Elephas maximus indicus: one gene and its partners. The protein of the gene in region 2 interacts with the protein of the main gene of each other region in a pairwise test. Links are inferred from orthologs where the notes say so. Each region holds a gene or a part of one and is shown on either strand. Other genes may lie near its edges. The genes, in order: UBE2K, HTT, FTL and PDK2.

What was found.
Region 1: the proteins of HTT (region 2) and UBE2K interact in binary tests that used the Homo sapiens proteins (3 or more experiments, as listed by UniProt). The link is inferred for Elephas maximus indicus from reciprocal best matches to the Homo sapiens genes HTT and UBE2K.
Region 3: the proteins of HTT (region 2) and FTL interact in binary tests that used the Homo sapiens proteins (3 or more experiments, as listed by UniProt). The link is inferred for Elephas maximus indicus from reciprocal best matches to the Homo sapiens genes HTT and FTL.
Region 4: the proteins of HTT (region 2) and PDK2 interact in binary tests that used the Homo sapiens proteins (3 or more experiments, as listed by UniProt). The link is inferred for Elephas maximus indicus from reciprocal best matches to the Homo sapiens genes HTT and PDK2.

What each region holds. Positions count from the first base shown.
Region 1 is NC_064823.1:121,116,501-121,124,448, forward strand, and holds the start of UBE2K (ubiquitin-conjugating enzyme E2 K), read right to left. Parts: upstream 3,001-7,948; 5' UTR 2,784-3,000; coding exon 2,721-2,783; intron 1-2,720. UniProt on the Homo sapiens protein: Accepts ubiquitin from the E1 complex and catalyzes its covalent attachment to other proteins. In vitro, in the presence or in the absence of BRCA1-BARD1 E3 ubiquitin-protein ligase complex, catalyzes the synthesis of 'Lys-48'-linked polyubiquitin chains.
Region 2 is NC_064823.1:162,026,508-162,034,251, reverse strand, and holds the start of HTT (huntingtin), read right to left. Parts: upstream 3,007-7,744; 5' UTR 2,842-3,006; coding exon 2,651-2,841; intron 1-2,650.
Region 3 is NC_064829.1:99,377,894-99,384,272, forward strand, and holds FTL (ferritin light chain), read left to right. Parts: upstream 1-4,284; 5' UTR 4,285-4,504; coding exon 4,505-4,606; intron 4,607-4,767; coding exon 4,768-4,914; intron 4,915-5,248; coding exon 5,249-5,374; intron 5,375-5,549; coding exon 5,550-5,702; 3' UTR 5,703-5,863; downstream 5,864-6,379.
Region 4 is NC_064837.1:43,535,263-43,543,142, forward strand, and holds the start of PDK2 (pyruvate dehydrogenase kinase, isozyme 2), read right to left. Parts: upstream 3,002-7,880; 5' UTR 2,981-3,001; coding exon 2,677-2,980; intron 572-2,676; coding exon 430-571; intron 1-429. UniProt on the Homo sapiens protein: Kinase that plays a key role in the regulation of glucose and fatty acid metabolism and homeostasis via phosphorylation of the pyruvate dehydrogenase subunits PDHA1 and PDHA2.

The DNA of each region.
Region 1 (7,948 bases), about 41 Mb from region 2:
CCAATTTCTCATGAATTCTTTCACTTGTATAAGCAAATACACATATTTCTCCCTTTTGACATAAATGGTGGCCTCCTACACACTATTCTGCATCTTGCTTTTTAGGTTTATCTTTGAGGTTGTATTTAAACTAAAAACACACTCTAAGAATAGCTGTTTATAACCTCTTATGACCAGAATTCAGCAAACATCAATTATCTTTAAAGTCACTTAAAAGCCTCCCCTCCAAAAAAAATCTTATATTAACCAATACTCTTAGTAAACGAGCACATGAAATAAACTTTGGTAAACTGCAGATCTGCATAAAATGACTTGATAAATACTTGACTACTTCACCAGCTACTGAAAATACTACATTGACTCACAAAGTAAAAAGGAAGTAATACATGGATTATACAAGTCCTTTGACGAGTTGATAATAATCAACATAAAAATGCCAGTAAAAATAAAGCTATTTATTGGTTATATTTATTACAAGATTAAATCTTCTGACCCTTCCCTAAATGTTCTTTGCAACTAACTTTCCTGGAAGAAGTATCCTTTCAGATTTGCAAGGGTACTATTCTCAAAAAAAAAAAAAAACTCCTTTGTCTGTCTGCATTTCCTGTTTTCTTCCTCTGAAACACTATGACACTTATTTGAAGCAAGGCTTCATCATCCCTTACATATAAAAGAGAAGTACTATTTTAAAAGTATGCATTAGTAGAGCAATACAAGTATTTCTGGCAACCTAAGTACTAAGAATATCATGGTGAAAAGTCACCTCATACAAAGTGACCAACCAACATGAATTACTAGAGCAGTAAACCTTACCACTTTTATGTAATGGAAAATAAGGCATTAGAAGCTTCAAATTTGTACAATCTTATAAAAAAGTACGTTTTAGGCTGCTGGCAACAATATTAGCTGCAATTTTTCATTAATGTATGTCAACTATTCTGGAATACATTTTATAAAATAAAAAGTCAGAATCATTGTTTCACTGTGTATCAGTAGACATTTATGACTCTATTTCCAAACTGTACCATAAAAATACAAAGTCATCCTTCCATTCAGAGTTTTGGCACTTGAACAAATATAGGGGTTAGAGTTCACACACATGCTCTTTAAGGCAGATCATTACTTATGTACTAAAAAAATATATACTACCTACGTTCATTAAATCTGCTGGCATTTGTCATTTTTGAATAATTTTAAATAATTTTCTCCATGTGTACCTGGAAAAATACATGACTATTTTTTTTTTTATCACAGACCCAGTAAACACAAAGAAATCCCAGGTGATATCAGACTTAAGTCAATTACTCATCACATACTTAGAATGCTGAATTTCACAAATCGTTGTTGACATTATCAAAGTACGAACATAAGACAATGAGAGAAAAAAAAACAAACAGCAACAATATACTCAACAATGGGATGTGACATTAAGAAAAAAATCATTTTCAGTATTACTTTTTGATCTTCCTCTGTTAAATCCACGTGGGGAAAACAACTTGCTATTCTTGTTAATTTGGTATGAAAAACTGATACTGGCATAGTTTTGAGTCAAATTACTATAATGTTTTCAATCTCTTATATAAATAATTGTGTGCAGCATGAAAGTATCTAAAACTCCATAGGTCTCAAGCACAGCTTGAGATAAATTATTTTTTAATCACTTTAGATACATGTCAGGATAAACCTTCTACTCACCTTAATAAAGAGATACAACAACATATTAATCTGATGAAATCTCATGGGTTTTCTTGTTTTGTTCCTGTTTTTGAAATCTCATGTTTTTAATAGGGCTATTTTTCAAAAGTAAGATTCAGGTTAACTATGAGGGACATCATAATGAAGTTTCATGGTACAACACAACAGAGTCAACAGACAGCATTGTCTTAGAAGAGACTGACCTGTAACTTGTAAACAATATTTTGAAATAAGCTGTTCATACCCCCTACTATTTGTTCCTGGCTAAAAATATTTAAATACCTTTAATACACCAAACAACTGGCATTTACCCAGTCAGAAACCTTTAGATGCCAATAAATAAAGGGTCCAGAAATTGGGGGTCTAAGTGAGGTGATATAATTTGGAGTTAATTTCCTATCTCAGGTGAAATTCCCTTATATTCCCTACTTAAATAATGTCATTGTATCTCCCCTTCTCTTCGAACACCCAACTAAGAGGGAGTAACTCTGAATGCCTGTCTTTCTCCTTTCATCAATACCTAGGAGCTCTCATCGCTCCTTCCCTAAGGAAAGGGCGCTGAAGGCCTGACAGGCGATAACCCAGAATACCCTTAAAAGTGTGGGCCTACGAGCAGCACAGCTCCCTCGGATCCAGTTACCACCTTTTCCCTTCCCCCATGCCACTTCCCGGGTTTTCTCAGGCTCGGCCTGCACCCTCCCCACCCGCAGCCACACTTCCAGCTGCTGCTACCGCCTCGGGGGTCTCTCCACGGCTCACACCCCTCTGAGAAGCGCACCTCTTCTCTAACCTGCTCCCCAAAACGTGTTCGTCCCCAGACCTCCCGCAGGGAAGACCGTCCATCCTTGGGCCCTGAGAGGGGAGAGGAAGGCGGCGGAAGGAGGGGAAAGCTACTGCTTCCCCACAGGCAGTAGGGCGGCCGCGGGGCGGGCCACCCAGGGGTTACAGGGGATATCGGGGTGGCCGCTGGAAGGGCCCTCCCACCCTGGGCTGAGGTGGGGGATGGCCGGGAGTTCATTTCTGACCTCCTCGCTCTTCAGCACTTCCTTGAACTCCCGCTTGATTCGCTGCACCGCGATGTTGGCCATGTCTCCGCCCGCAGCTGATTCGTACCCGCCTCCTCCGCCACCGCTACGACCAACGCCACCGCCGCCACCTCTTCCTCCACTGCCTCCTCCTCCGGCGATTCAGACCCGAGCACAGGAACGCTGCCACTGCCACCTCAGCCGCCGCGCTCTCCTCAGTGTGGAATCACCTCCGCGCCCGGCCACCAAAATGGCGCCGGGTCCGCGCATGCGCACGATGCTGACCCGGCCGGGCGGCGCAGCCGCTCCGGGTGTAGCCTCAGCCGCGGCGCCGCGCGTCTCTCCGCTGGAGCTGCGGTCGCCTGACTCCGCCCCGTCGGAGTCTGGGCCGGGCGGGTGCGGTTTCCGCGCTGCCTGACGCACACTCGGCTTTTCCGAGTCCCTGCGACTCCGCCGCGCTGCGAATCAGAATGGTGTGGTCGTGGCTTTCAGTTCCTGGCCTCTGGCCGAAGGCTCGAACCCAACCCGGCAGGACCCACGCGGTTCTCTCTACTCGACCTGGACCCACGCCCTTACTCAGCCTGACCCAGACTAGAGCCCCAACCCACAGGCTTACTGTGCCCGACTATGTCTAGTGTACGAAAACACTATCCTAGAATTCAGTCCGGCCCATTTTCAGTTGGTAAGGCCCCAGAAAATGCACTGCGGTCCGTTGTTGTTCTGAAAACAGGGACACCATAAAGTGCCTCTAATATTCCCATCGGAACTAGAAATCATTGCTTTAAGTATCGTCCTTGCTGGTTCCATTAGGTGTATTTGAGACGGATACTCCATGGAGAGGCCTGAGGTAAGCTTAGACGTCAGATGTCGATTTTTTTTTTTTTTTTACTTATTTTACTTTTTGTTGTTGTTGAGAATATACACAGCAGAAAATACATCAACAGATACTGATCTTTGATCTATTTAGATAATTAATACCGAGCTGTGGAACTGAAAAGATGGTTTTCAAACTTAAGCATGCGTCAAAATCCCTTGGAGCTTGGAGAGATCGTTAAAACACAGATCGCTGGCCCTCGTCCCTGGAGTACAGGGCGAGCCTGATAATTTGCATTTTTAAAAAACTCCCAGATGATGTTGATGCTGCTGGTTCAGGGACCAAACTGAGAATCACTGAACTAAGGCATGCCAAAAATAAAGTGGAAATTGGAGAAATAATAGCTCCTGAAGGGATGGAAAGGAGGGCTTTTACTTCTATAAGCCTAAAGCCTGCAACTGATCTGGCATTAATTGGCACTCAATAAATATTGACTGAATGAATGAATAAAGATAACAGTAAAATGTTTTTAGTGGAAAGGAAGTTCGAAAGGCAATTTAAAAGGGGTTGCTAGGGATTATAGTTAATAATATACTTTTGATGCTGAGAGGTATTTTGAATATGACATTTTGGAATAAGTGATAAAAGGTGTTATTTAAAAGTTTATATTTCATGCACTTCCTTCACCTAACCAATTAGTAAAGTACCCTGTTATGAAAATATTGCAAAAGTTATTAAAAATGTGGGAGCAGAAAAAGAAATCACGACTAGAGGTGAATCATTTAGTTAAGGTGTTAAGGGAATTTCTTGAATTCCTGCCCCAGGAACCAAGAGGAGGTTGTTTTATTCCAGCTCTCCTCATGCCTGGCTGTAAGATCATGGTCAACCTCGTTTTCCTCATCTGCAAAACATGGAAGGTGGATTAAGATGATCTCTTTCAAGTAAAATAAGTGTTCAAAACATCATCTCAGGACATCATTTTCCTAGGTGGACTGGCATAAATTACAAAACTCTTCCAGCAGAGCCCCCTAGTGGTCTTGAAAGAAACCAAATATATAAGTGGGTCACAGTACAATAATAACGTAAATCATGCAGTGCTATGTGTGTTTGTGCCAGAACTAAAAAATATCACTTTGAAGTGTGCAAAAATTTTGAATACTTTACTTTTATATCCCTCATTCAGTTGCCAATCCCAATGTTGGAACTTCAAAGAAACTTGGTATATTCAAATCACAGAGAAACCAGTTAGAAGGGTATAGTAATTTCCTTGGGGGAAGGGAACTTAGTAATTTTTAAATGCACATAATCATTGACTCTGCAGTTCCACTTCTAGGGATTCATTTTACAGTCCTTCCAGAGAATGAGGCAGCTACATATTAACTAATATGAGACAATATTCAAGATACATTTTAAGTGAAAAAAGCACCGTGCCAAATGCAATGAGATATCCTGGATTGGATCCTAGAACCAAAAAAAATTAATGGAAAAACTGGTGAAAGCTGAATAAAGTCTATAATTTAGTTAATAGTATTGTTCCAATGTTGATTTCTTAGTTTTGACATGGTACCATTGTTGTGTACCATGTTAACATTAGAGGAAGCTGGGTAAAATGTATACAGGAATCTCTGTACACTTCTTTAAAACTTTTCAGTAAATCTAAAATTATTACTAAATAAAAAATTTATGTTTAAAAGAGGCACCGGGAAGTCCATATTGTGTATAGTACGCCATCTTATGTGTGAGAGGGGAAAGGAATAACTTGTGTATTTGATGTTCGTGAATCCATACAGTATTGATGGAAAGATACGTAAAAAACTGACAACAGTGGTTATCTCCGAGAAAGGAATTTAAGCACCTTGGAGAAGACAAGGTAGGAGACTTTTCACCATGTGCACTGTTGTATATTTTACCTATTCAATGAAGTAACTTTTTAAAAAAGTGTTTCCAGTAATACAGATCATAAGCTTTTTACTACTACCTAGGTCTGATTGATTACTTCATTTACTAATTAATTAATTAAACAAAAATTTAGTGAGTGTCTCCTATGTGCCAGGTGTGATCTAGACCCTGAAGAAATATCTGTGAACAAGAAAAAAAGAAAAACCCTGCCTTTGTGAAATTTACATTCTAGTGGGGGTGGGGGAAATAAAATTAATCTCAAAGTCTGCAGACCCCTGAGGGTCCCTGAGATGTTTTCAGGGGGTCTGCCATGCCAAAACTATTGTCAAAACTGTACTAAAACATTATTTGCCTTTTCACTGTACTGACATGTGCAGTGATGATGCAAAAGCAGTGGTGGGCAAAACAGCTGTAAAATTTCTATATTAGTGGTAATTCTTCAATGTCACATACCCATGGTTAAAAAAAAAAAAAAGCCAGTTTCACTTTAGAATGTCTTTGGGGAAGCAGTAAATGTTATTAAATCTCAACATTTGAGTAAATATCTTCTTAATATTCTGTGCAACAAAATGGGAAGTATACGTACAGAATGTCTGCATTGTAACAAAGTACAAGGTAAGACACTTGGGCAATTTGCTGAGTTACGAGCTGAACTAGCCATTTTTTTTTTTTATGAAACACTGTTTTTACTTGGAAACCCTGGTACCGTAGTGGTTAAGAGTTACAGCTGTTAACCAGAAGGTCGGCAGTTCAAATCCACCACGCGTCCTTGGAAACTCTGTGGGGCAGTTCTACTCTGTCCTATAGGGTCGCTATGAGTCGGAATCAAATAGACAGCAACAGGTTTTATTTTTACGTGACATAATGACTCAGGCAAAGTATGTTTATTACAACTTGGGTATTTAGCAGACATTTTCTCAAAAATCAGTGAGGTGAGCCTGTCGCTTCAAGAAAAACACCTGACAGTATGTGTCGTCCATGATAAAATTCAAGCTTTCAAGTGACAGAATTTTGGAAAACATGTCTGCCACCATGAACTTCCCAATACTTAAAGATATGGCTGATGATATTGATGGTGATATTAACAGATGTGATTGTTTGCTGTTATACAATGGGATGTGTCAACATTTGGAAGCTCTGTACAAGACAGTGAAGCAATATTTTCTAAATGATCAATGCATGGTGTTACAAAATCATGCATGGGTAAAAAAGATCCCAAGGTTCAAGACAGACCAATGAATTTTAATGTAATAGAGTACACACGGACAACATTTCAGATTCCACATTGCAACTAACCTTTATGAAACTGCCATTTGTCTAGTTTGGGTGTAATATTAAAGAAGAATATCCACAATTATCTGAAAAAGCTATTAAAATATTCTTCCCTTATCCACCTAAATATCTGTGTAAGGTTAGGTTTTCTTCTTATACTTCAACCAAACATACTGCAATATATTGAAAGCAGAAGCAGATAGGAGAATCCATCAGTATGCTAGTAAGCCAGTCCTTAAAGAGGTTTTGTTTTGGAAAACAGTTATTTTTTAATATTATTTATGTGAATATGTAATGGATTTATTATAATTCTATTATAATAAAATTAATAAATTACATTTCTCAGTTTTTATTTTTAATGCAATAAATATTGATAGATATAAGCCATGTAAACAAAAGCTCTTTGGAATCCTCAATAATTTTTCAGAGTACAAAGGGGTCCTGAGTACATTTGAGTATACTGTACTGCTCAGACACTAGGCTTGGATCTAAGAAGTCACAGGCTTTCAGAATATGTAATTTACGTAAACATGATATGTGTCAAGGCTATAAAAATGATTTTAGGTCAAATGGAGGAAAGTTAATCTGGTTGTTCCTAAAAGTTTTGATGTGTTGATTCAAGTAAATATGGCAAGGCATACTAGTGCTTTGCTAACCCTTGATAATAATTACTAACATTTGAAGTGTTCAAATCTCCTTTTCGTAGACCCTGCTAAGCTCCTATTACTGCTCTTCAGATTCAAATTTCCTGCTCTTCCAAATGCAAAGAAATTCTTTTTTCGCTACAACCCTTTCCTGACCTTGGGTTTTGCCAACTTTTTGATATATTTTTCCTCTCTCTGCTTCCCTCACTGTTGCCTATTCTACCCACGCCTCTCATTTAACTCTTTTTTAAAAAAATACTCAGTCCTAACTCTGTATCATTTTACTTTTTTTTGCTTTCACTGACCTCTGCCCTTTCCATGCTGCTAGCTCTCTGCCCCCCCCGACACACACCCACACCCACACCCACACCCACCCACCCACCCCCCCCCCCCCCCCCCCCCCGCTGTAAGGAGCTTTAGTTGCCCGAATGGAAAGCAGCATTTAGATCCACAGTCAAATTTCTAAACTTAGCTCCAGGTCAGTGGGCACCACAGTATTGATTATAATGCACATTATATTCTAAATTTAGAGAATTAGATCTAAACCCCAACCATCGCAGGTTCCCAAATATCTACAGCATGGAGTGAAGTGGTGCAGA
Region 2 (7,744 bases):
CATCTAAACAGAAATGCCAAGATCCAAACTTGTGAGCAGCGAGTTTGTTAACTGAAAATTAATCACTATTCTCTTCAACAGCAAGATACATTAGAAGTAGGGTCTTTACTTACTTTATTTACAGTAATTATAACTAAACCCTATGGCAGCTGATTTCAGAGCATGCTAAGAGCCTTTAAGTTTCTATTCTAAAACACTTGCTTTAAGAAAATTTAAGGTCTAAACATTTTCACTGATTATATCTGCAAGGATACAGAAAAAACTTTAAGAGTAGTTGCCTTCGGGGATGATGTTAGGTACTTAGGAGAAAGGAGTGGGAGGGAGATATTTTAATTATTACCCTTTTGTAATTGTGGAATTTGTTAATCATCTTAATGTATTACTTATACAAAAATAATAGATTAGATTTTTAAAATAAATCAATCACACATTACCTTAAAATAATGAAACAAAATCTACCTACTTTGTCAAGCCAGCCTGAGAAGGAAACCTCTGTTACCCATATTTTGAAGATAAGCAAATTCATGTCCTGTCAAGTCAGCATAAGAAAGAGAAGGCGTCTGTTTAGACTGACCAAGTGTTTGAACAAGCCACCAGTGGACAACAGCGAGGTCTTCCTCCCCATCCCTCCCCATCGAGGACCCTGCCTAGTGCTTCCCGCTTTTACACAAGATACACACATATGCGGACGTGTGACTATAAATTATGTGCTGCAGAGATAAGCCAAACTGTCAAAAAGTTTCTCTGGATATTCAAACAGGTTTTAAGGAAAAAAATAATTTCTTTCTTTCTAAATTTTATTCTAACAATTAATCCAACATAACCTCCCTGAATCCTCATTATCTAATTAAACTCTCAGGACACACAGCAAAGATCATACAAGAAATATAAAGAACAAGTTACTAAAAATGAATCAGTCTTAACACAGTAAGACTCCTCAAGGGGCTGATTCCTGAAAACTCTTTCCTGTTGACTGCTATCTTGTACACACCAAGATCAGAAATAAAACACCTGGAGGTGAGAGAGAAGCTTGAACTGCAGCATGCTGTTGTTGTGTGCTGTATCACGAGGGCTCCTTGAAAATTGCAGCACCCATAACCCACTGCCCTCGAGTCAATTCAGACTCATAGTGACCCTGCGGGACTACTGGTCCACAGGGCTTCCAAGGGCGACCTTTTTTTGGCTTAGCAGCCGTAGCTTACTGTAGCTCTTAACCCCTACTGAACACTCAGCACAGACACTTCCAGGAAAAGCCCTTGAGTCCTATCAGAAGGTGCTATTAATGGTCTGAGAAGCTCTGCCGGCACAGTGCTTAAGGCTCTGCTGCTAACTCAGCGGTTGGCAGTTTGAACCCCCCAGCCGCTCTGAGGGAGAGAGACATGGCAGTTTGCTTCCGTAAAGATGTGCAGCCTTGGGAACCCTATGGGGCAGTTCTATGCTGTCCTATACTATGAGTCAGAATCTGATTCAACTGCCAATGGATTTGGGTTTATCAATGGTCTTTTTGTTTGAAAAATTCTCCCCAGGCACAGGCAGCGGAGATCCCTGCCTATCTAAGAGTAACAGAATGTCAGCAACGAAACAAAACAGCAGCTCGTTTACTGGCACCCCTGAGATGTCCCTGGGGTCCACACACACCCCACGTTTTAACAAGCTTGACTAGGATACTGGCAAAATGTACCCCTCATTCATCTCCCAGCAATCCGTCTCTCCCTGGGCAATGTGTCCTCCTTGTCCCCGAAGGAGACCATCAACTTTCCCTAATATTTAAGTCGGCTTTATTAGTTCCCACTGGTTAACGACAACCACCTAAGCAACTCATCTCTTCCTCCGCAATCGCGACTTGCTCAAATTCCTGCAGACCAACACCTGAGCTTACGTCGGCGGGTCTCTTACGTGACGCTTAAAAAAACGTTACTACCACTACGATTCATGAAGCAAATGCAATGCCTGGAGAATCTGGGAATACGGTCTCAAGTCACAGGCTGTTTAAAGTGCCACTTGGGAGAGCACTCTCCATTGGACGGCGTCCTCAGGCCCCTGCCCCCCCCAACCACTCCCGCCTAGACGTCCTAAACCATTATGTCATCCACTGTCCCCACATCACTCCAGCGCCAATTCCGGGCTCCCCTCGAGGTGCCCTGCGCCCCCAGCCCTCCTCCCTCTCGGACTAGCGGAGAGGAAGGGAAGCGGCCTGGAGGAAGCCAAACGGGACGTGGTCTCTAACTCCTCTAAGTTCCCTTCCTGACACACTTAAGACATCACCCCTACCCCCGTTTTTTGCAAATAAAAAGAAACAAGTTCTTTTCCTAACTCTCATCACCTAGGGAAGGCCAGAGCCTGGGGCCGTGACTTCCCTCGGTGGCTTCAGGAGGGGCCCCAGCGAGTCTCCACGTCCCCTCGCAGAAGGACGGAGACCCCAGAGAGGGGGCCCCGGGGGAGCAGGGGCTGCGGGCCCGCTGCCGGAGCTGGGCTCTCCCAGCAGGAGGGGGCAGGTGCCAACCTCCCGGGGGCTGCGAGGCCGCCACTCTCGCCGCGCGCGGGGCGGCCCAGACCGCAGGGACGCCGCTCCCCGAGCCGTCGCCCGAGGTCCCGCCCCGGGAAGAGAGGCTGCAGGGGCCCCGCGCTCCGAGCCGGGCCCGGCACTCACGGTCGGTGCAGCGGCTCCTCGGCCACGGCCGGGCCGGGCGGCGGCGGCGGGGGCGGGGGCGGCGGCGGCGGCTGCGTCTGCAGCTGAGGAGGCTGAGGCGGCGGAGGCTGCTGCTGTTGCTGCTGCTGCTGCTGCTGCTGGAAGGACTTGAGAGACTCGAAAGCCTTCATCAGCTTTTCCAGGGTCGCCATGGCGGCCTCCCGTCCGGCCGGGGCAACTCCCGGAGCCCTGGGCCCGACTCGCGGCGACGCGACGCCGCTCAGCAGCGGGGCAATGAATGGGGCCCGGGGCCGCAGCCAAAAGCGGAACCGGGGCGCTCGGCCATTTTAGAACTGTCCCGGCAGCCCCCGCGCCTCCCTACGTACCGAGACGCTCCGCGGCGGAGGCGGGGCCACGCCGGCTGGCGGGATTGACAGCCCGCGGCGACGGCTTCTGCCAATGGCCGGCCGAGGCGGCGGCCCGCCCACAGCGCCGCAGGCACGCAGCCTCGAGAGCTCCGGCCACGAGACCCAGCGCCGCGCCCCGCAAAGGCGCGGGGCGGGGCGTGCGGGAAGGGGCGGGGACGGGGCGGGGCGCGGCGGGCAGGGGGTGGGGGGAGGGGGCGGGGAGTGTTGGGAGGTGAATGGAGACAGGCGGCAGTGAATGAAGGAGGGAGGCGGAGCGCGGAGGAAAGGGCGGGACGAGAGAGAAAAAAACGAGGGGAGGGGGCGGGGCTAAGTCGGGGGGCGGGGCGCAACCAGGAGTACGGAACGTCGATGGGGCGGGGGCGGGGCCGGGGAGAGGGCGGGGCCGGGCTGGGGGGCGGGTCCGGTTGGGTAGGGGCGGGGCCGAGCCGGGGGCGGGGCATGGCTGAGGGCGGGAAGGACGGGGCCAGTCCGGGTAGGGGCTGGGCCGAGCCGGGGCGGGGCCTGTCTGGGGGCGGGGGTCAGGGCGGGGCAGAGCAGGGGCGGGGCCGGCTGGGGAGAGGGCGGGGCCGACTCGGGGGCGGGGCTTTCCGGAAGGGGCGGGCCCGGGCCCGGACGGAAGCAGACAGGAGACCAGCGGCCGGGGCGGTTCTGATCCGCCCTGACACGGCGCGGTCTGGCCGCCCGGCTCGCGAACAGGGGCTCCCGGACCGTGGCGCCGACCCTCTTGGGCGAAGCTCCAGCCCACGAGCGCCGTGCCGGGAGCCTGGCGAACGTGCGCCCTTTGCATCCTCAGCCGCCCGCCGTGGCTCCGAGAGGCAGCAGTGCTGCGGGTGGGAGCGGGCCGGGAGGGCGCCGGGGCACCGGGCTGCAGCTGCCCGTTCTCCGCTCGCCGGTTCCGGCTCTAGCTGCCGGACGAAGGTGGGACGAACGGGGCGTCGGAAAACAAACAATATTCTTAGGCAATGTTTAAGAAAATCGAAATTAATGCAAAAAACCCATCGGGAACAAAATATCCGAATACACAGTAGTGCCATTACTGAGTTTTCCCCTTGCCACGGGCTCCTGCATGGCCGGCCGGGGGCGCTGTTCCCCGGGCTCAGCCTCGCCGGCCGCTCTGCTCACCTGGGGAGCCGCCCCCTCGGCCCCGCGCAGGAAGGCGCCCCCGACGACTGGCGGCGCAGCGAGAGCGGCTGTGGCTGGGAGGTCCGTGCGCCCCACGTTGGCAGGTGATCGGCGCACTCGCTGGCCAGGCCCCGGTCATTCCCCTGCCGGGAGGAACGGGGAACAGCTGCATAGAAAACTGATTATGGTCGGTGGCTACTGAGGACCCGAGAGATCTGCCTTTCAGGGGTGAGGAGCCCAGGTGCCCCCCGTCCCCTAAAGCAGAGGCCCTGGCAGGGCAGGCGCCACAGCAGCTGGGCACCTTCCAGGACTCCCACCATGGGCGGAAGGAGGGGAGAGCGGGCCTGCAGCAGGTACAGGTGGGTAAAGTGGTAAAGCTACTCAGTCAACGGTGCTGCTCAGAGGCTGTGGCTGGTGCAGTGAGAAGCCCCTGGAACAGGTATATCAGGGCACCGCAGAGATGCCCCTACAGGAATGACCCCCACCCCCACCCAAGGGGCACCCCCTCCACAGCGGGTGGAGGTCGCTGCTCTCTCCAGTGTTGGTCTATGAGACACCTACTCATGCTGAGGGTGGTGATGGCTGGTGCTGGAGGGTCCTGGCTCCAGGGACTCCTTATCTCCTGGGGAGGTAGCTGAGCTTGCACAGGGAGGGAGTAGGAGGGCAGCTCTTCCCACCTGGCCACAGGGAGCCCCTCAGGGAGAGCAAGGTACAGCCAACCCAAGCCTTCACACTCAGATGCCTTCACACCTGCTCTCGGTGTTCCCTCTTCTGTGGCCACAAGCCACAGCCCCACCCTCTCCCAGAGCCTGTCAAGCATCCCAAAGTGTTCAGGTAAATGGAAACCCAGTAACAGGACAGGAAGCCTTGTTCCCAAGGGACAGCAATGGCCTCCCCTTCCTGGGGTAAGGACAGCAGAGAAACAAGAGGCCAAACTTCAGTCCCTGTTCCCTGAGACTAATAAAGGCCCTGTCCACTGTGTCAGGTGGGGTACCAGCTCCCACCCAGGGCAGGGCATGATGTGTTACTTGCTGGGGGAGGACGACTTCCAAGATAGCCTCAATGACCCCCAACTGCTAGGATTCACGCCCTTGTGTGCTCCCCTCCCATAAGTGCGGGCTGGACCTGGCAGTTACTGTTCCCCAATATGGCAAATGTGATAGGAGGTCACTCCGGCGATTTGGTCATGAAGATGGTGACTTCCATCTTGCTGGCACTCTATTACGTTCTCAGCTTGCACATTTTGATGAAGTAAGAGGCCATGTCGGAGAGGCCCAGGTGGCAAGGAACTGAGGGTGGCCTCCAGTCAACAGCCGATGGAGAAGTGAGTCCTGCCAACCCCACATGAGTTGGGAAGTGGATCCTTCCCATCGAGCTTCCAGGTGGGAAGCAGCATGTGAGAGACCAAGGAACAGAGGACCTGGTTAAGTGGTGCCCGGATCCCCAGCCCTCAGGAACATGAGACAATGCCTGTGTTGTTTAAGCCACCATGTCGGGGGTGATCTGTTACGGCAATAGATAAGTCAGACAGTTTCCTCCTAATAACTACTCTGACCTTCTTTAGTCATAAAAAACAGTAACAACAAAATAGTTGCCGTCAAAGTGGACTCTGACTCATGCTGACGCCACGCGTGTCAGAGCAGAAGCGTGCTCTAGCGGACTCTGACTCATGCTGACCCCACACGTGTCAGAGCAGAAGCGTGCTCTAGTGGACTCTGACTCATGCTGACCCCACGCGTGTCAGAGCAGAAGCATGCTCTACAGGGTTTTCAGTGGCTAATTTTTGCGAAGTAAGTTGACAGGCCTTCCTTCTGAGGAGCCTCTGAGTGGACCTGGACGTTTTGGTTAGCATCTGAGTACATAACTCTTTGAGCCACTCAGGGCCTCTCAACTTGTTGCCATTGCCGGCGAGGTGCTTCTGATTGAGAACAACCCTGTAGGACAGAGTAGAACTGCCTCCACAGGGATTCCAAAGCTGTAATCTATATGGAAACAGAACATCACATCTCTCCCCCGCGGAGTAGCTGGTGGGTTCGAACCTCTAAACTAGCAGCCAGGTGATCAACCACTACGCCACCAGGACTCCTTGCGGGGACTCCAGGACCTCGAGTTTTAGCTGAGCACTTTGACACTTAGCTAAAATACATTTCCCATTTTTCCTTTCAGCCATGTGACTAAATAAATTCCGCCAAGGAGATGAAAACAGAAGCAATGGGTGCTATTCTAGAAAGTCTCCGTAAAAGGGCGGGGTACACCCATCTTGAAGGGACCCCGGTAGCACAATGATTAAGCAGTCAGCTGCTAATCGAAAGGTCGGTGGTTCTAACCCATCAGCCGCTCCACAGGAGAAAAATGTGTCAGTCTGCTTCCATAAAGATTACAGCCTAGGAATCCTTATGGGGCAGTTCTACTCGGTCCTATAGGGTTGCTGTGAGTCGGAATCGACTTGACGGCAACCACCACCACCCATCTTGGAGTCCCTGGGTGGTGCAAACGTTGAACATGCTTGGCTGCTACCCAAAAGGCTGGAGGTTTGAGCTCACCCAGAAACACGTCAGAAGAAAGGCCTGGCGATCTACTTCCAAAAGATCACAGCCACTGAAAACTCTACAGCGCACTCTCTGCTCTCACACGCTGGGGGCGCCCATCTTCTCGCTGCCCAGGGATGAGGAGATATGGGTTGGCAACTGAGCAGCCACTTTTTTATTGTGCTTTAGATGAAGGTTTACAGAGCAAATTAATTTCTCATCAACCAACTATTACACATATTGTTTTGTGACGTTAGTTACCAACTTTGCAATGTGTCAGCACTGTCCCCTTCTCCACCCTGGGTTCCCCATTTCCATTCATCCAGCTTTTCTGTCCCCTTCTGCCTTCTCATCCTTGCCCCTAGGCTGGTGTGCCCACTTAGTCTCGTAGACATGGTTGAGCTACATGTATTACTGTTTGTTCTATGGGCCTGTCTAATCCTTGGCTGGTGAACTTCAGGAGTGACTTCGGTACAGAGTCATGTCCAGGGGCCATACTCTCAGGGTTTCTCCAGTCTCTGTCAGGCCAGTAGGTCTGATCTGTTTTTGTGAGTTAGAATTTTGTTCTACATTTTTCTCCAGCTCTGTCCAGAACCCTCTATTGTGATCCCTGTCAGAGCAGTCGGTGGTGGTAGCCGGGCACCACCTAGTTGTGCTGGACTCCGTCTGGTGGAGGCTGTGGTGGTTGTGGTCCATTACTCCTTTGGACTAATCTTTCCTTGTGTCTTTGGTTTTCTTTATTCTCCCTTGCTCCAGATTGGATGGGACCAGGGAAGTATCTTAGATGGCCGGAGCAGCCATTTTGGATCATGACAACAAAAGCCATGTACTGGGATGGTAGAGCTGGAAGGAGCCAGGCCCAAATGACTGGGTGGACTCTGACAGGGTCACAACAGAGGGTCCTGGACACAGCTGGAGAAAAATGTAGAACAAGACTCTAACTCACACAAAAAAAGACCAGACTTACCAGTCTGACAGAGACTGGAGAAACCCCAAGAGTATGGCCCCCAGATACCCTTTTAACTCAGTACCGAAGT
Region 3 (6,379 bases), on a different chromosome or scaffold from region 2:
CCTCTCTGGGTTTCTGTCCCTCTTTCTCTGGGTCTCTGTTCATCTCTCTGGGTCCCTGTTCTGTCTGAGTATCTGCCCCCACCCCCCATATCTCTGTCCTCTCTCAGGGTCTTGGTTGCCCCCCCAGGTCTCTCTCACCCTCTCTGAGTCTCTGCCTACCCCTCTCTGGGTCTCTGTATCCCTGTCTATCTGCCCCCCTGCCCTGGGTCTCTTTCCTCTTCTCTCTCTGGGTCTCGATCCTTCTCTCTCTGGGTCCCTGTCCCCCCAGGTCTCTTTCCCCCACTCTCTGTGGGTCTCTGTGCCCCTCTCTTTCTAGGTCTCTGCCCCCCTTTCTCTCTTTGGGTCTCTGTCCCCCTTTCTCTAGGCTTCTGTCCCCCTCTCCCTGGGTCTCTGTCTTTCTCTCTCTATCTCTGTTTCTCCCTCTCTGGGTCTTGGTCCCTCCCCCAGGTCTCTTTCCCCTGCCTCTCTGAGTTTCTGTCCCCCTCTCTTTCTCTCTTGAGTATCTGTGCCCCCCACCCCCATGTCTCTGTCCCCCTCTCTCTTTCTCTGGGTCTCTGTCCTGAGTATCTGTCCCCCTCCCCATGTCTCTGTCCCCCTTCTTCTGTGTCTTGGTCCCCCCCAGGTCTCTTTCCCCCTCTCTGAGTCTCTGTCCCCCCTCTGGGTCTCTGTACCCTTCTCTCTGGGTCTCTGTTCCCCTCTCTCTCTGGGTCTCTGTTCCCCTCTCTCTCTGGGTCTCTCCCCCCGACCCCGGTCTCTGTCCCCATCTCTCTCTGGGTCTCTGTTCCCCTCTCTGGAACTCTGTCCCCCTCTTGGGTCTCTCCCTTTCTGGTCTCTGTCCCCCCCTCTCTGGATCTTTTCCCCTTCTCTAGGTCTCTGTTCCTCTCTCTCTAGGCTTCTGTGTCCCTCACACTTGGGTTTCTGCCCCCTCACTCTCTGTTTCTTTCTCTCCTGCAACCTATGGTCTCTACCCCTCTTCTGATCCTCTCTGTCTCAGCCCCTCCTTTCCCTCCACTTGTGGACACTTTCAAAATCCCCTTTCCATAGGTGGGGCTTGCCTGGGGCTAAAGGTCTTTAGGCTGAGGAATGACAACTGGTCAATCAATAACTAGGCCTGACTAACTAGGTGGCTCAGGTCACTTACCCTCCCCCCTCCCCCATGTGCTCTCCCCAGAGACACTAAGTCCAAGCCAGACACCAAGTCAGGTGAGAAATGTCGGAGATATATGAGCTGAGACTGAGCCCCTGACCCAGAGAGAGGGAACGCTATGGCCACAGGAAGAATCTCCAGGAAAGACATAAGGGAACTGAGATAAAGTATGACGTGGAAACAAAAACATCTTGGGGGAGGGGGCCACAGGCCTGGTTCTGAGGGTCTCAGTCAGACCAATTGCAGCTGGCCCTGAGGGGATGAGGTCAGGGGAGGGGGGCCCTCCCACCTCAGTCCTGGTCCCCTTCCTGTGCCGAGCTCACCATGACTCAGCATAGCCACTCACCCAGACGGCCTTTGTTGTTGGGTGCCGAGGACTCAATTTCAACTCATAACTACCCCCATATTACAGAGTAGAACTGTCCCATAGGGTTTTCTAGGCTATGATCTTTAGATCTTTATGGGAGTATATTGCCCGGTCTTTCTTTCACAGAGCTGCTGGGTGGGTTTGAATTGCTGACCTTTGGGTTACGAGCCAAGTACTTAAACTTTGTGCCACCAGGGCTCCTTAACACCAAAACCAAACCCATTGCTGTAGCGTCACTTCTGACTCAGGGATCACCTTTTGGTTAGCAGGTGAGCTCTTTAACCACTGTGCCACCAGGGCTCCTATACACGCCCCTTAGGGACCCCAGATACTGGCCCAGCCTTGGCATCCACAGATCCCCTGGGTGAAGGGCTACCCCGCCTGCACTGGCTGGCGTGGCTGCTCTGCCAAGCAGACCTGACCTCTTACCCCTCCCCTGTGACTTCTGTTCCTATGCCACATGAGCTACCTCCATTACCGACTCATCTAGGGTCCAGTTGCTGTCTTTGTACCTTCCTCCTCTACACAACCAGGAGACTTGGTTGGGCAGTGATTAAGCGTCTGGCTGCGAACAGAAAGGTCAGCCTTTCAAACCCACCCAGCAGTTCCGTAGGAGAAAGACCCTGCTTTCATAAATATTACAGCCTGGAAAGCCCTATAGGGCAGTCGTACTCTATCACTTGAGGTCGCCATGAGTCAAAACCTGTCTTGATGGTACTCAACAGGGAGCTCCTTGAGGGCAGGGCCCTGCTTTGAGTCAGCTCTGCCTTCCCAGTCCCAGTATGAGCCTGGCTCACTTAAAAAAATGTATGTACAATGAAGACAGTCTCCTCCTAGGTCCCCAGGCTCTCCTAGTTTCCCGAGAGACCCTGAAGTAGTGCATATTGGGCTGGACACCCAACTACCTCTGAGAGGTCCCTTCAGGGCCAGAGAGAATTTCCACAGTCTTTAGACTGCCTCCAAAACAAAGAAACCCAATACGATCAAGTCGATTCTGACTCACAGCGACCCTATAGGACAGAGTAAAACTGCCCCATAGGGTTTCCAAGGCTGTAAATCTTTACAAAAGTAGACTGCCACATCTTTCTTCCAACAAGGGGATGGTGGGTTCCACCACAGACTTTGCGGTTAGCAGCTGAGCACTTAACCACCGAGCCACCAAGCCTCCTAGCCTCCAAAATAGTTCCCAGGAAATGCAGCCCAAGAGACCCCCCCCCCAAGGCTCTAACGTTATTTCCTACACACACCCCAATCTCAGCATCCAGAAAAACACTGCTGTTTTGTTTTTAGGTGCCATCCAGTTGCTTCCAACTCATAGCAACCCTGTGTACAACAGAATAGAACACTGCCTGGTCCTGTGCCATCCTCACAATCCTTATGCTTAAGCCCATTGTTGCAGCCATTGTGTCAATCCATGTCCTTAAGGGTCTTCCTCTTTTTCGATGACCCTCTACTTCACCAAGCATGATGTCTTTCTCCAGGGACTGATCCCCCCTGATAACACGCCCAAAGTATGTGAGATGTAATCTCGCCATCCCTTAAAATAGCCCCAAGGTATCCTGAAAGCCCAGACAATTCTTCCAAGATTCCAAGAGCTCTTGAGGGTTCCTGAGTCCCCCTACCTCTCAAAAAGTCCCTGTTCCTGTTAAGTGTCATTGACTCAATTTCAAAACATAGTGAACCTATGTGAGCCCTGTTGGCACAGTGGTTAAAGTGCTTGGCTGCTAAATGAAAGGTTAGTGGTTAGAACCCACTAGCCACTCTGTGGGAGAAATACCTGGCCATCTGCTTCCATAAGGATTACAGCCTTGGAAACCCTATGGGGCAGTTCTACCCTGTCCTATAGGGTAGATATGACTCAAAATGGACTTAACAGTAATGGGTTTGGTTTTTTTTTTAATGTTTGCGGGGAGCAGACCACCAGGTTTTTCACCTGCCTGCCAGGTGGATTCGAATTAAAATAGTGCCTAGATTTCCAGAAACACCCCAGCCCTTGAACCCCAAGGCTCCAAAACCACTGCTTTTCACAACTTGCAGATTCCTCTGAAGGCCCTAGAGACCTCCCCCAGCTTCCAAGAAAGGCCTCCAAAGAAACAGACTTCTTAGATCCAACTCTAAAGCTAGAGAGACCTTCCACTTTTGGGTAAACACTAGGGAAACAGCTCTCCTATCCCACAACCCAGCGAGACCCCCACCCAAAACCCAGTGCCATCGAGTCGATTCCGGCTCATTGCGAAGCGAGACCCCCAGGGTTCCAGAAATACTCTTCTTGGGGCCTTCCAAATTTCCTAATGACCGGGAAACCCCTTATCTTCCACAAGCAACCCCCCCTGCACCTCTAAGGAAGCCCCAGGGTTCTAAAAGAGTCCATGCTTTCAGAGACAAGCCCAGAATCCTACTTCCCTGAAACATCCCCAAGACCCCAGGATCATCACCGCCCAGGGCTCCCCAGTGTTCCCATAAACCTCCCATCTTCCAGAGCTGCCCCCAGAATCCCCCGACTTTGCGAATAAGCCCCAGGACCCTGCACCCACCGAACCCGCCTAGCACCCACTTCCTCCCCGCATTCCCATTTCACAACAGTCTCACGCTCCAAGCGCGTGACTCCCCAACCCCGGGGGGGCTGGGGGGAAGGGGGGAGGCGCCTATCTGTTCTGGATTGGTCAGGCGCGGGCTCAAGTCCCGCCTCCCGCCACCGCGGACTGGTCGACAGATCGCCCTGAAGCCCCGCCTGCGAGGAGCCGCATGCTATAAAACACGCCGCCCTGGCCCCCACCTTCCTTAAGCTCGCTCGGTGGTCCCGTGGATCTGTTTCTTGCTTCAACAGTGCTTGGACGGAGCAGACCCGGGGACGCCCTACCTCCAGCTTCGCGCTACCTTTCAACCTCGTCTCCTACGCGCAACCTCTGGGACCATCTTCTTGGCCATCCCCTGTTTCCAGGACCAGCTAACACCGTTTTTTGTAGTTAGCTCCTAATCGTCGACGAACCATGAGCTCTCAGATCAGTCAGAATTATTCCGCTGAAGCGGAGGCCGGCGTCAACCGCCTTGTCAACCTGCATCTGCGGGCTTCCTACACCTACCTCTCTCTGGTAAGGGTCCCCGAGACGTCCCCGGCCCATGTTTTCCCTAGCTGCGCACCTCCGGCCCTGTGCGCACGCGCGGACCTTCTTTGTCCCGTTGGATAGCAGAGGGCGGAGTCCTTCGCCTGGCCTCGCCTTCCATTAACCTTTGTTCCCTCTACCTCCCGCAGGGCTTCTACTTCGACCGCGACGATGTGGCCTTGGAAGGCGTGGGACACTTCTTCCGCGAGCTGTCGAAGGAGAAGCGCGAGGGTGCCGAGACTCTTTTGAAGCTGCAGAACCAGCGTGGCGGCCGCGCCCTCTTCCAGGATGTGCAGGTAAGTGGCGTGTGGGCCACGGACTACATCTCCCAGCAGGCCTTCCGCACAAGGCATTTGGACAGCTGCTCTGTAGGCGCTGTAGCGGATTCTTAGGAGATTGGGTTCGATCCTGTCTGGGTTTGTTTTTGGGCGAAGTAAAGGTGCTTTCCCAAGTAGTGGCCGGCCAGGCTACTGGGTGGTCTCATGGGAGGCAAAGTTGTAGGAGGCTTGGCGTGATAGATCAAGCATCCTTGCAGGCTAGGTCCATTATCCTCAGGGACTTCTGGGAAATGTAGGTTTTAGGTGTTTGCCAGATGTGTGAATAGTTGTGAGTCGTCTTTTTCTTGTACAGAAGCCGTCCCAAGATGAGTGGGGTAATACCCTGGACGCCATGGAAGCTGCCCTGGCCCTGGAGAAGACCCTGAACCAGGCCTTTCTGGATCTGCACGTGGTGGCTTCTGCCCAGGCAGACCCGCATGTAGGTACCGCCTTCATCCGTTGCAGCCCCTCCTCAGACCTTCCCTGGCGTTTAACCTTACAGTCTGAGCTTGCTTTCTTCTTTGATTTACTGGGCAGATTGCTTTCTGAGGACCACATTTGCCTCCCTCTTTCTCAGGAACTGCGTTTCTTATTTCTCCTTTCATATTCCTCAGCTCTGTGACTTTCTGGAGAGACATTTCCTAGATGAGGAGGTGAAACTCATCAAGAAGATAGGCGACCACCTGACCAACATCCGCAGGCTGGCCGGGCCCCAGGCTGGGCTGGGCGAGTATCTCTTTGAGAGGCTCACCCTCAAGCATGACTAGGAGCCTCCAGAGCCTCCTGTGAGGGCCCCTCTGCAATCTTCTGTCCTCATCAGGCTTTTGCCTGAATTTCTCCCTTTAGCTTTTAGGCAGCATCTGAACCACCCTGGAGGGCCCTCTCCCAAGCCGTGGACCAAATGGAAACAATAAAGCTTTTTGCAGCAGCTACTGGTGTTGTGTGTATGGTGTGGAAAAGGAGTTATAATCTGTTTTCACAGGTCTTCAGGCTGTGCTGGCAGGGAGAGGGGGCCCTATCTTTCATTATCTTATATTCTAAGGCAGGACTTTTTCCAGGGGGTTGTGTACGGGGTAGCTTCAGTTCTGTTTGCCTTGGCTGTTAACTTTCTCTCCTTGATGGTAGAGCCCAGACTCCAGGGAGGGTTTGGTGGCAGACCCAGGCATTGTTACAGGGAGTAAAAGTAATTAGAAACAGGTGTTGCTTAATGAGCAATTATGGGGCCAGGCTCTGTGCCAACCTCTTAAACAGCTACTATCTCTGGCTCAATCCTTGGGGGTAGATGAAATAATTATCCTCATTATATGGGGAAATTTACGACACAGTTAGCTGCTCAACTACTAGCTGAAAGGTCAGTGGTTTGAGCCTACCCAGGGATGTCTTGGAAGATGGGCCTGGATATCTGCTTCTGAAAGGTCACAGCCTTGAAAACTATTGGAGTGCA
Region 4 (7,880 bases), on a different chromosome or scaffold from region 2:
AAAGTAAACCCAGATAAATATTCAACAAAGGCAAAGCCTAACATAGCACATGCTGGGCTTCCAGGGCCAGGGCTGTGGCTAATGCTGACATCAGTCTGATTTGGAATTTTAGCTGTGAAAACCACGAGGTCCCAGGACTTGGGCCAACTATGATTTACCCAAACTACGGATCCTGGGTTTCTGGAGAAAGGAGGATGGTGAATATAAGGCTGTCCCGTAGACACTGGAGGGTAGGAGCTGGATCTTAGTCCCTGCTCTGGCCTAGGACTCCCACATGACCTTGGGCAATTCCCTGGCCCCCTGAGCCCCTGTGCCTCTGCTCTGCCCCCACCCCATCAAGGCTGCTGGGAGCATGGAGCCTCCATCCCTGAGCCCAGGGACACCTGGCAATGGAGTGGGAGGGTGCAGGGCCCTGGCCAGGGGTCTCACCAGCTCTGGACCAGCTGCACCGAGGGTGTGCTCAGCACCCGGTCAGGAAGCAAGTTGATCTCCTTCATGATGTTAGCCAGGCGCACCGGCAGCTCCTGCCTGAGGAAGGTAAAAGAGGTCTTCTCACAGGCATTGCTGGACCCTGGGGGAAGGAGAGAGGGGTGAGCCCAAGAACTTCAAACTAGAAGAGCCAGAGGACAGGTCAGTCAGGCTCTTCGTGTACTGAGGGCTCAGAGAGGAAGCAGCCTGACCAAGAGCACAGAGCAACACAGGTCTCCTCCCCTGCATGCTCAAACCTCCATACACCATGCCTAACCTTCCAGGGGGCTGCATCCTCTCCCCACCTCCAGGTGAACCTTTAACCATGGGGGACAGGGCCACCCATCCCTGGGCCCACTTGGAGCGGCCTCTGGCCTAAGTCACCTCAGTCTTCTCTTTTCTTCTGGACATTCACTTTGGGGGATTGATCCAGGTGGGCAGAGCAGTCTGGGAAATCTATCCCTACCCAGGGTGGGGGACTAAACCGGGACCACTGCGGTTGCAGGGTCCCAGTGTGGTCTCTTCCAGGCTGCTCCTGATGCCCACTGCAGAGTGGCACCCTGCATTAATGCCTGCCTGTAAGGCAAACAGGGCCCAAGGACAGCAGCCCCAAACCGAGGCCTGTCTTTAAGAAGAGGGCTTGGAAGTCTGAATAAGGCCATGGCCTAGAGTCAGGAGACCTGGGTTCTAGTCCAGGCTCTCCTTCCAACTCTGTCACTCAGAGTGTGTCACCATCTTTCTGAAGGTCTGTTTCTCCCACTATACTACGAACAGACTGAACTCTACTGTGGGCCCCTCCCAGCAGCAACATTTTCTAATTGGGGCCCAGTCTGGGCTGGACAGTTGCTGGGGCTAGTGGTGGGCCCAAGAAGCTTTCCCATACTGGGGAAGCTCAAGATTCAAAAGCCCAGGAGGTGGGCAAACAAGTCTGGGGCAACAGGTGCCCTTGTGTTCTGACTGCCCCCTCCCCGCCCCTTCCTGTCAGTGACGCAGCTGTAACCTGAGCCAGGCACTATCTTCTCAACTCTTCAGAGACCTGGGCCAAGAGAAGCCAAAACCCATTGCTACTGAATAGATTTTAACTCACAGGGACTCTGTAGGACAGAGCAGAACTGCCCCATAGGGTTTCCAAGACTGTAAATCTTTACAGAAGACTGCCACATCTTTCTCCCCGGAGTACCTCATAGGTTCGAACTGCTGACCTTTAAGTTAGCAGACAAGCACTTTAACCACAGCACCCCCAGGGCTCCTTCAGAGACCTGGGCACCCCCTCCCAACCTCCAGCTGGCACCATGGAAATACTGTGTGGACAGACAGAGCCTACACAATGCCTGCTTCAACTGGCAGGTTGGTACCGCCTTGCTCCTGCCCCACAGCTACCTCCAGATGCTGGTGGTGGGTGATTCTGGCCCAAGAATCCAGAAGCAGCCAAGGGTGGGTACAAGCGACCTGACTTCACCTTATGGTGCTAGGGCCCTGCCAAGCTAGGGACAGGGTGCCAGGCTGGGGCAGATTTGATCTTCAAGTGTCCTTGCCCACCAGGATGGTTGGGAGCCACATCCTTCATCCTTCATTGGGTTTACTGGTCAGGAGCTCCCTCTCTGGTTGGCATCTTCTTCTGAGAGAGCCCCCTTCTCCAACTGCTCCCTGCTTTTCTCTCAGTCTATCCAGGAATGTCTAACCTTTCCATGCCCAGCCCAGGTCTCCTCCTTCCAGATGGCTACCCCTCCCCAACTCTTCCTTGTTACTTCCACTAGCACCCCCCATTTCCTCTCTATCCCCCATTCTTAGAGTCATCATAATGCCACATTAACCCTTTAGTGCTAGAATGTCACCTTACTCCCTTCCTACCCTAATGGCCCCCCCTCCCCCGTCCCTTACTCCCCAAGACCCCTCACAAAGCCCAGGAAGAAACCTTGGACCCATCGTTCTCAGTGCCCTCCCCCCTCCCCCTTCCCATTAGTAGTTCAGTTCACAGTCTCTTTTCAGCTGGGGCGCCCCTAACCCTTTCATGCCTCGGTCTTCCCTTTCCTCCCCGTTAACCTTTTCCTGCCTGTACCCTTCCTAGCAACCCTCCTCCGTCACTCAGGGCCTCTCTTCTCCTCCTCGTTAATCCTTCATTGTCTAGACCCCTCCAATCACCCCCAAATCATCCCCCGGCTGCCCCTCTCGGTGCCCCGGTGCCAGCTGCCTCCCGCCTCTCCGTACCGAAGTCCAGAAACTGCTTCATGGACAGCGGGGATGGGGAGAACTTGCTGAAGTGCTCAATGTACTTGGGCGCCCCTGCCAGGGAGGCATTCTTCAGCAGCGCCCGGACCCAGCGCATGGCGGCGGCCGCGGCTCGGGTTCCGACTCTGTCACAGCACGCGTAGCTGTCGCGCTCGGCTCGGCCCAGCCCGGTCCAGCCAGCCTCAGCAACCCGGTTCGGCCGCCAGCTTCCCCTGGCCCGGGGGGGGCCTCTGAACCCCAGCCAATCGGCTCGTTGTGGCGCCCCGACGTCGCCAATGGCCATGTGCAAACAACTACGGGAGAACCACTAACATTCCGCTCCGGCACGTGGCTTCCCTCTGGGCCCGCCTGCTTAACCCCGTCCCAGCCCGCGGCGGCCTGTTGTTTTCGGAGGGCGGCGCGGCCAGTCCGCCTCTGATCTTTAACTCCTCCCTTTCCTTCTAGGGTCGGAGGCTGGGTTAACTCCTTTCTTCCCAGAGGTCCTTCGAGCCTTTTAATTTCTTTCCCCTCCAATTTCCTCCCTTTCCCTTGCTCCCTCCCCAAATCTCCACCAATTGTCGGCTCATTTTAACCCTTTCCTTCTCTGAATTGTCCAGGTAGCTTCCAACTAAACTTTCTTCGCAAAGGTGCTTGTTTCACCTGTCCTGATCTCTCCCTACTTTCCCTGAGGGGGTCTTGTGGGTCCCTAGTCTCTCCCCAACCCTCCAGCAATCAGTCTTCTTGGACAGTTTCCATGACGGTGACCCAGACGATGATTATTTGCAAAATTCTGAACCGGGATGCGAGCCTACATTAATCCCTCATATAGACATACGGCCCTCCCACTTCCACAAAGATCCAAGCGCCTCCTCCAGTTGAAAAACACGGAGTCAAAGCCCTAACAGCTAGCGTCTACGTGTGCCGTTTTCAAAACATTTTCATTATTATCTAGCTCATTTGACCGAGCAGGAATCTTTGGACATCTAGCTGAGAAAGCGACTCTCTTCGCACTGGGATTCCTTAAAAAGAGGTACCGGGAGATGATTCGTGCTGGGGCCGAAGGGGAAGCCTGTGCTGGTCCCGGCCTCCCTGGGTCCTCCTTTCCCAGCAGCCCCGCCTCTCTGTAAGGAACATACAGGGCCCTCTTGAGGTCCAACGTGGTATATCCTGTACTGGGCCAAGGGGTCAACACTTTGATAGCATCTTTCCTGGGTTCAGTCTTCTGCCCGCACTTACCAAATGCCAAAGGCTGAAGGTTCGAGTCCACCTGAAGGTGCCTCGGAAGAAAGGCCTGGCGATTTACTGCCCCAAAATTAGCCCTTGAAATCCTATGGAGCATAGTTCTACTCTGACATTCATGGGGTCGCCATGATTAGGACTCGACCCCACAGCAATTGGTTTTTAATGTGTGCTAGGCTTTTTCCTGGGAACAGGAAACACAGGCAGGATTAGAACATGGTCTTTCTCCTCAAGCGCTCAGTTTGGGAGATACCTGCTGTTGCGGATTGAATTGTGTCTCCTAAAAATAAAAAGAAACGTGTTGTAAATTCTAACCTCTATGCCTGTGGTTATAATCTCATTTGGCAATGGGTTGTCTTTGTTATGTTAATAGGATAGGTTAGTCTAAAATCATTCTCTTTTGAAATATAAAAGAGATTAAAAGCAAGCTAGCAGAGACTGGGGAAGAGAGATCCCAGGCCACATGAAGATTGCCCAGGAGCTGAAGCTCAGAAGAGACAAGGACCTGCCTCCAGAGCCAACAGAGAAAGAAAACCTTCCCCTAGATCCAACATGCTGAATTCAGACTTCTAGCCTCCTAAACGGTGAGAAAATAAATTTGTTTGTTAAAGCCATCCACTTGTGGTATTTCCATTATAGAAGCATCAGATAACTAAGACAGCTGCATAAGTAAGTAAGTAGGTACAACAGAGTATGGTGAGAGCTAACACAGAGTTGTATGCACAAGGCTTCACAATGGAAGACACTCTTAGCTGAATGGATAATAACTTATGAGCCAGGCACTGTTTGCATACATTATCTCATTTAATTCTCAAGACAGTGCTATTGTACTGTTATTATCCCCATTTTATAGATGCGGAGACTGAGGCTCAGGCTTCATTCAGAAGTGACTGTAAAGAACAGGACTTGTGGGAAACAGTTTGGTGGTTCCTCAAAAAGTTAAACATAGAATTGCCATATGATCCAATGATCCCAACTGTGATCTTTAAGGTGGTGTGTCAGTTTGGCTGGGCCATGATTCTCAGTGGTTTGGCAGTTATGATGTAGTTTGGCAGTTGTATAATGATGTATAATCACCTCCATGATGAAATCTTATGTAGTGTGATCTCTTCATGGTGGGATCTACTGTGAGTAGCCAATCAGTTGAAAGGGAGTTTCCTTGGGGCTGTGGCCTGCATCCAATATAGATGGACTTTCTGGCAAGGCTCTTAGGCTTTTGCTCGCTCTGGATCCTGCAGCTGGCTCCTGTTCACCTGACATCCGGTTCTTCGGACTTGAGCTAGCAGCTTGCCTGCCGATCTTGGGGTTCGTCAGCTTCTGTGGTTTCGATCTTGGGTTCACCAGCCCCTATAGCTATGTGAGTCAGGAGAAACCTCTAGCCTGACCCATGGACTTGGGATTTCCAGCCTCTCCAACTTCATGAGCCACTTACTTGATATAAAGCCCTCTCTCTATCTATGTACAGACAGATGCTTCACTGGTTTTGCTTCTCTAGAGAGCCCAGCATAAGACGCTGAGAGTGGTTCTAGAGAAACAAAATTGTAAGGATGAGTTTTCTAAATTGATTCTCAAGTCTGGTTAGTCTTAAAGACATTGATGACCCTGCTTCCGGTGGTAAAGAGGGCACTGCTAATCCATGGCGTAAGGTGGCAATAGAAATAGGCAAAATATCACCACCAATAGATCACATATTGGTGAGAGGTGAGGCTCAGGGTCATCACATGCTTGTACCTCTCTACAATTTTGTCATAATGAGAAGTATAAGGAAGCTCGTTGGTTGGTCCTACTTTCTCTAGACAAAGTAGTAAAAGAAAGGGATGAGCTCAGGGGCTCAGAGTCGAAGCTCAAGCGCTGCATAAACGACCTCAAAGTTTCCACTTGTGTCTTGAAAGAAAACTTTATTTCCTGTAGGATAGAGCTGATATTGCCGAAAACTAAGCCCAGAATTTTATTGTAAAAGTGGCTTAATTACAACACCAACTGAATTCCCAACCTCAAGTGATGTCTGAAGTTAAGGTGAGGGCATTGATTGGTCAGAAATGGGATGCTGAAAGTTGGGATGGGGACATATGGGCAGATAATCAGGAAGCTGGGGACCCTGAGCCCCTAAATTTGGTTGAATCACTCCTGCTAACAGAACTAGCCCTCCCACTCCCATTTGAAGCAATTACTCCATCTTTATCCGATAAGCCACCTTCTCTGGTAAAACCATTAACCTCTCCACCGCCATTTGTTGAGATTCACCCAGCTACATCGGAAGAGACTTTGTCTGAGTCATTGCCTGGGGTGTTGCCTGAGGCAGATGCCTTACAAGACAATGCTGAATGTTCCCAAAACATATCCCCACCATCCATTTTGGCTTCTAGGCTAAATTCCCAGGGAACCCCAAAAGGTGAAGTACAAAGTGTGACCCAGGAGGAGGTACGCAACACTCCAAAAAAACTGCTTGACTTTTCTAATGGGTACAAACAGAAACCTAGGGAATATGAGTGGGAATGGCTATTAAGGGTGTGGGATAATGGTGCAAGGAAGATAAGGATGGATCAGCCTGAATTTACTGATATGGGCCCACTAAGTACAGATACTTCATTAAATGTTTCAACTCAAGAGGTTAGGAAAGGATCTAATAGTTTATTTGGTTGCGTTACTGAAGCGTGGATTATGCTGTGGCCTACACTAAATCAAGCTGAAGTACCAAACCTGCCTTGGCATACTATAGAAGAAGGAATCCACAGGATTAGGAAAATTGGCATGCTAGAGTGGATTTATCAGGTTAGACCCACAGACCCACACATGGAGTGCACAGAGGATACATCTTTTACCACAATGGTGAGGAACAAATTTGTGAAGGGGAGCCCCAGCATCCTCAAAGACTGCTGTGATTGCTATTTTATGTAAGTCAGATTTGACAGTGGGAATTGCCCTAGCTGAGTTAAAACACCTAACTACAATGGGGCTGATTAGACCTTGTGGTGGTTGGGGCCAAGTGGTGTCGCTCAATCAACAAAGACAAGGTTGGCATGGTTACCGTAATGGACCATGGAGCCAAAGCAGTAATCAGAATAGCCTGGCTCCTATGGACTTCTGGCGTGGGCTACTTGGTCATGGTGTCCCTAAGTGTGAAATAGGTAGGAAATCTTCGAAATATTTACTTGATCCGTACAAACAAATGAATTCTAGGTCAAGCGAACAGCAGTCTAATTCGAATTGTCAGAATAGAGAGTCACGGCTCTTTAATCAATTCCCAGACTTGAGCAAGTTTGAAGACCCAAAACCCCTTAAATGAAGGGGGGGCCAGGTTCCCTTGAGGAAGGACCCCACTACACTGCTAAAAATTTGTACTGTTAATCTTTCTTCCAGCCTTTTCCAAAGGGATCTATGGCCTTTTACGAGAATTACTGTTCGTTGGGGAAAAGGAAATAGACTTTTCAGGGATTACTGGATACTAGCTCTCAACGGACACTAATACCAGGAGACTCAGTATGTCACTGGGCCCACCAGTCAGAGTGGGGGTATATGGTTGTTGTTGTTGTTAGGGGCTGTCGAGTCGATTCTGACTCATAGTGACCCTATGCACAACGGAATGAAACACTGCCCAGTCCTGCACCATCCTCATAATTGTTGCTATGCTTGTGCCCATTGTTGCAACCACGGTGTCAATCCATCTCATTGAGGGTCTTCCTCTTTTTCAGTGATTTCCTTCTCTAGTGACTGATTCCTCCTGATTACATGTCCAAAGTATGTGAGACATAGTCTCACCATCCTTGCTTCTAAGGACCACTCTGGTTGTACTTCTTCCAAGAGAGATTTGTTTGATCTTTTGGCAGTCCGTGGTATATTCAATATTCTTCGCCAACACCACAATTCAAAGGCATCAATTCTTCTTTGATCTTCTTTATTCATTGTCCACCTTTCGCATGCGTATGAGACAATTGAAAACACAACAGCTTGGGTCAGTCCTCAAG